2 linked regions of the Saccharomyces cerevisiae S288C genome follow. Changing the gene in region 1 together with any one later gene gives a genetic interaction. Each region holds a gene or a part of one and is shown on either strand. Other genes may lie near its edges.

Region 1 (2,967 bases):
CCCAAATATAATGACAAATCGACCGAAAAAAGAACAATATTGTCATTGCTTTCCACTATAACAAGCAATGCCATTTCTTGGACGTTCACTGCAGGATACTTCAATATTTTGCCAGACATCAAAGCAAAACTGCTGGCAACGCCGGTTGCTGAGGCAAATGTAATAACAGCTTCCCCCTTTGCAAACGGCTTTTACCAATCAAAGGGCGTCTCATCAAATTTACCTGGTGCTTACTTGTACCTGTCAAAAAAATTTCTACAAGATGTATGTAGGTACAGACAAGATCATGCTATTACATTAAGAGAATGGCAAAGAGGCGTAGTAAATAAGCCGAATGGTTGGTCATATCACGCAAAAGGTATTTGGCTTTCCGCTCGTGATAAAAATGATGCTAACAATTGGAAACCCTTTATCACGGTTATAGGATCTTCAAACTATACGAGAAGGGCGTATTCATTAGATTTGGAATCGAATGCTCTCATTATTACAAGAGATGAAGAGCTAAGAAAAAAAATGAAAGCAGAGTTAGATAATTTATTACAATATACAAAACCTGTAACTCTAGAAGACTTTCAATCAGACCCAGAAAGACATGTTGGCACTGGTGTAAAGATAGCTACCTCCATTTTGGGTAAAAAACTTTAGATTCTATTCTATCATAGTATGTCGCCTGTAAATATGGAAAAATAAAAGAAAAAATAGTAATAATAAATGCATTATCTAAAACTCCTTAAATTTGCAAACATCGCAAAGCCATTAAGGTAGAGAATGAGCTGACCTTGTTATAGTTTTCCTTTTGGCAACCGTGGTTTCCGTCCTACGTAAACATACTGAACTTGACAAAGTATGACCAATAAGGTGACAAATTGTATCAATTTTACCCAAAAGGGCGTTGAATTAAATGGTATCTCGTAAAACAATGCATTGGTCGGTATTACCAGTCTACCTAATAAATCGATAGATTCAGCCAAAAATGATATCAATGCAAACTTTGATGATAAACCTACTGTTGAGCATCCCATCCAGTTTATACTCATTTGAGGCACATACTTGAAACATTTAAGCAGATTTGCCATTACCCACAAATAATTTATGTGTTCCAAATAGAAAACGCCAAATTTACCTGAATTTTTCAACGGTAAATTAGAGATGGAACAGCCATATGTAAATATGCCTAATACAAGGAACACACTTATAATTATTATGGAAGTAATGGAAATGCCCTGATAAATATGTTTAGTTGACCTATAATAGTATAACTGCCTTAAAACCATCATGCAGCAACAGGAAACGCAAAAATCTTTTAGAATGAGGAAACTGGATATAGGTATACTACGGGCATCATTCAACGGATAAAAAAGTGGGAATCTTTGAGACAGTTGTTCCCTCACCAGAGATGAATAACAATAATGCAACGCGCAATACAAGTACAGACCATTACCAACAAAATCTAGCAGAAATAAATCATATGAAAGCCCGTAAATAGATCGATGAAGTTTATTATAGCGCTTTTGACATAGAATGGCGATGATCTATGTAAGAAATGGAAGTTTTCTCCCTTAGTTAGTCAAACCTTTCATGTATACTTTCTCCTTCAATTATGCATACTGATAAAAAACCTGCCAAGCCCTGCAGAACAATAACAAGCATGTGAATGATTCAATATAATTGCTTCGCAGGGCTCCTCAACCTCTCCTCTGGAAAACCTTACCTCAATGAGGTTAAAAATTGTGGGTTTTTCGTTCGCAGAGGAAAAAAAAACTTGTCAAAACACGCCTCTGCAGTAGAACACGAATTATACATAAGAAAAATAACGATACAAGAAAGGCGATTTCGATTTGGGACTAAGTGTTACACGAAAGGCATAGAGTATCAAAAAAAGGAAGCAAGATGGATTACGATAGCTCTGATACAATGAACGGTGGTTCAAGTAACCCCTTAATCACTAAGATGAATACAATGAAATTATTATATCAACACTATTTGGATAAAGTCACTCCTCACGCTAAGGAGAGGTGGGCTGTATTGGGTGGTTTGTTATGTTTGTTTATGGTTCGTATTACAATGGCCGAAGGCTGGTATGTGATTTGTTATGGTCTAGGTCTATTTTTATTGAATCAATTTTTAGCCTTTTTGACCCCAAAATTCGATATGTCCTTACAGCAAGATGAAGAAAACAACGAATTGGAAGCTGGAGAAAAATCAGAAGAATTCCGTCCATTCATCAGAAGATTACCAGAGTTCAAATTCTGGTATAACAGCATTAGAGCCACTGTCATTTCCCTCTTGTTGTCGCTATTTTCAATCTTCGATATTCCAGTATTTTGGCCCATCTTATTGATGTATTTCATATTATTGTTTTTTTTAACTATGAGAAGGCAGATTCAACATATGATAAAATATAGATATATACCCTTAGATATCGGTAAGAAGAAATATTCTCATTCTTCTAACTGATATACCCTGACTCCACATACCTATTCAACGAACACATTCGTATCTTAATTATATGTAAACAAAATTATATGATAGTTACAGAATAATTGTGATTATTTTCTCCTTCTACTCATCTTCTCTTATATTGGAAGAATACATGAAGTTATTGATTAAGCAAAATTGAAGGGAAGAGGCTCATTTTCTTCCATTTATAAATGGAGAGCTTGAGATGCCTCCAATTGATAAATTTTTGTAAAGACTTTCAAGAAACATGTCTAAAAAGAATTGACAGCTTCGAACCTTTCTGCATAATTACTAATACCAAATTAGTGAGAAATGGGGTATGTCGAGGAATAAAGGATGCAAAAGAGAGAGTAATGTCATGCAAGTTGTGAGTTTGAAATGTTCACACGTTTATAATGTCCATACTCCGTGGCGTGCATGTGTTTTAGTGTATTAGTTTTCCAAGTTATTAAAGAACTTAGTAAATTTATCATCGAACGCATTTTGATTAAGTGGCACAATAGACTT
Region 2 (3,681 bases), on another chromosome or scaffold:
GATAGTGGTTCCAGGAAGAGAAAGTTTGATGAAGGCGAACAAAATGAAGACGAGAAAAGGGATGCTAAGGATAAGGAATTTACAGGGAGCCAAGACGATGGAGAGGATGAATATGACCTAGATAAATTATTTAAGGATAGCATCAAAAAGAAAAAGACCAACCATAATGGTAAAAATAAAAATAGAAATTCAAAAAAGTAGCGCAGACAATGCACCAGCAGAAGTACGTATTCGTATATAATAATGAGAACATAATATAAAGCATTGTGTAGTATTTTTTTCGTATTTGTCATAAACCATAAGGACTGCCGTCCTTTCTATTACGCTCAATTCCAAAACATATACAAAAACATGTAAATACACCACTTCTAATTTATCAGATAAATCTCTATCATCAATATCATTGAGATCGTTTTTGTATCTTTGCGTTTTTTTTCATAGCTTGAGTGTCGTCACTCTCCTTTTCGCTACTTCATTATTGCTACCTCATAACTTTCTCTCAAGCTCAAGCATCATCTATTTCTCGAAAAGTTGCGTTGGTGATCTCAAACTCTGCCCCTCCAGTATTAATAATGTTACTTTCAGTACATAAGACTTCAGTTCCATTCACAGAACTCGTCTCATGCACGCCATGCACTTTTATGGAATCTACGCTAGGTACAGATGTTTTTGTACCGTGGTTGCCAAACAAAGTTGTTTGATGTAAGTCTTCATCAACTACGTAGGGCGAAGAGATGGTGTCTCTTTTCGTTAGAAAATTGTCCTTCGCGTAATTGAAAAGCATGGAATGCAAATTGTGCTTATAGGAGAACTGTAAAATGTAAGAAAGCAGCACAATAAGGATGAAGTTGGTGAAAAATTTAGAGATTTTTTGTTTCATTGAGGTGTAGTTGGCGTAGTTAAGCGGTAATTTTATTATGTGGATAGTGTTGGCTGCCGAAACACTCGCCACATATGTAGAGTCCGGAGAGATAGTGACCTCTGTAATGGCAAAACTATGAGCTTGTTTGAATATTTTAGACATTGACAGGTCTTTTAGTTTCACAAGAGCTATGGAATTGTCATTACTTGCCAGTACCGCCAATTCACCCTTCATGTCGACATCCATAGAAGTAATCCCTTTGAATCTGTTTGTCACTTGTTTGGATCTTAATACGGAAGTGTTTCCTGATTTGATGCTTATTTTGGTCAGCACAATACCTTTCCCTTTTTTTAAAGAGGCTGCTATCAATACTGTGTCATCGGCTATGAAGTTTATTTTAGATAAACTCCAATTCTTATCAAAATCTGTTTTCCTAGCAATGCAACTTCCAGTCACTGTTGAAATCACTTCCAAGCTAGAACCGGTGATATAAGCAACAACCTTACCATCAGTGGAAAAGTGTAAATCCTTTACTTCACCCCTAGTCTCGATCTCAAACTTCTCTGTCAAGTCGCTCGGGTCAATGATTCTCATTATAGCAGGTACTTTAGATGATGCGATAGCTGCAACGGTACCTTCTCGTGAAATATAAACCAGCTTCGTGTAGTCATCCGCATTTGTAGATGCGTCAAAGTCTACACTAGTGAGGAACTCCAATTGATCATTCACTTTATCGTATTTAAATTTTCTCAAGTGCTTATTACCTTTACCTTGGGTAATCTTAGTGCTATTTTCATTGCAGCCAACCAAAATGATACCCTTGGAAGCGTCAATTGCAGTAGGAGAGTCGTCGTTGTCTTCCAATGCAAACTCGCTCAATATATGAAACTGTTCCTTCTCAGTATCTTTGGTAGGATCCACGCGCAAGACCGTCAGCTTGTTTGGTATGCCATTGTTTCCTTCTCCTCCACCGCCTGCCACAAGTAATGTGTCGTTATTCAAAAATTTTGCACCGTACGCAGGATACCCGACGTTATAACTAGCTGTCACGAACTTCATAGTGGCTCGATTGTATCTCAACCTTGTTATATATCTGTATTTCTATCACGTATCCTTCTAGGTTTCTGTACACGTTTTTGAATTTTTTGGATTTTTTTTTTTTCAACTTTTCTTTTTTCCCTCATTCTTACTCTATTGTCATCACCATTCAAGATAAAGATAATAACTAGCTTTGAGAAATTAGACCAGACGCAGTGGAAGGTTGAATACATGCCTGTGTGAGGGTGGTGCCAATGACCAGTACATTACATACGACAAAAAAAGTGCTCTCCATTCAATCACACGTCATACATGGCTACGTGGGAAACAAGGCCGCTACGTTCCCACTTCAATACAGAGGTTGGGATGTGGACGTATTGAACACAGTTCAGTTTTCTAACCACTCGGGGTACGCCCACTTCACAGGCTTCAAATGCAGCACTGAGGAGTTGGTAGACATTGTAGAGAAGGGCTTGATTGGGTCTCTTAGAATCAAGTATGATGCCGTACTTAGTGGCTATTTACCCAATGTTCAAGCCCTGCAAAAGGTAGCAGGAATAGTGGGTCAATTATGTGAGGGGAGTGAAAACGTCAAGTGGATATTAGATCCTGTACTGGGCGATAATGGAAGGCTGTACGTGGATCGAGAATGTGTTGCGGTATACCAAGACATTTTACAAAACTTCAAAATTTTTTTGGCCACACCAAATCAGTTTGAAATGGAACTGTTGGTGGGGATGTCAATTCGTACCTTAGACGACGCTAAGCAGGCATTTAAACTATTTCATAAAAAGTACCCTCGAGTAAGCCGAATAGTTGTCACTAGTCTGGAATTATCTGAATTCCTGAGCAACGACACTTACGTAGTAGCAGGGTTTGATTGCTCGGCCAGTGAAGAGATATTCTTCTATGAAATCCCCAAGATCAACGCAAAATTTAGTGGAAGTGGTGATTTAATCAGCGCCATGCTCACTGACTCGTTACTAGGCGACCGCCGCTGCACACAGCTGTCATTAAGCGCATCCTTGGGCCAAGTGCTGTGGCTCGTCACCAGTATCCTACAAAAAACGTATGATTTAAACATAGCTGAGCGGGGCCCACAAGATTCCACGATAGATATCAAGGATTTAAAGCTGATTCAGTGTAGAGACATCCTAAAGCAAGATCTCATACCCTCCATTGGCAAGCCAAAAACCATTAAAATATGATTCTTACGAAACGGTATGCTCCTTCCTCATTGGGGTGCGGCTGCTGCAGGAACCTGCCTAAATAGGAAAATACATTCCTGATTTGGAAACTGTAGGCACACGACGCGTCCCTTTGGAGAAGATCGATCCTTCTTTGGGTCTTTCAATTTGATTGGAAAAAAAATATTTAAAAAAATAGAAGAAAAATATAGAATATATAGAATATATAGAATCAACTACTGCAGTAGATAAATAAAGAAGACTATTCATATTCAGTATCACAATTGAAAGATTATTACAATTTGTATACATTGGTTCCCAATGAAGAGCTTTTTTCTTTATCTTTATGTGGCATTCATGTTTAGTTGCATAACGGCTCTGCCATTACCTGTGGATAACAAAAGGGCTTCTTCAGACTCCTTAGACCTAAAGAAAAAATACGCACCAGACCCTCCTATTACACATAATGTAAACATCGGAATTGTTTTCACAGATCCTGAAAGTTCGGAAGAAGCCGGCCGTCTCATAACAATAGACTTATACGGGACTATGGTGCCCAAGACAGTAATGACTTTTTGCCAGTATGTTGATAGT

Evidence for each region.
Region 2: mutations in RER1 (region 1) and SEC12 together harm fitness more than expected from each alone (negative genetic interaction), as found in Saccharomyces cerevisiae (2 studies listed by BioGRID).

The regions. Positions count from the first base shown.
Region 1 is NC_001135.5:110,026-112,992, forward strand, and holds RER1 (protein retrieval receptor), read left to right. Parts: upstream 1-1,890; coding exon 1,891-2,457; downstream 2,458-2,967. Other genes in the region: PGS1 (CDP-diacylglycerol--glycerol-3-phosphate 3-phosphatidyltransferase), read left to right, coding at 1-645; YCL002C (uncharacterized protein), read right to left, coding at 783-1,532, 1,609-1,650. UniProt on the Saccharomyces cerevisiae protein: Involved in the retrieval of endoplasmic reticulum membrane proteins from the early Golgi compartment. Required for correct localization of SEC12, SEC71 and SEC63 in the endoplasmic reticulum.
Region 2 is NC_001146.8:672,769-676,449, forward strand, and holds SEC12 (Sar family guanine nucleotide exchange factor SEC12), read right to left. Parts: upstream 1,922-3,681; coding exon 506-1,921; downstream 1-505. Other genes in the region: MPP6 (Mpp6p), read left to right, coding at 1-201; putative pyridoxal kinase BUD17, read left to right, coding at 2,155-3,108; peptidylprolyl isomerase family protein CPR8, read left to right, coding at 3,409-3,681.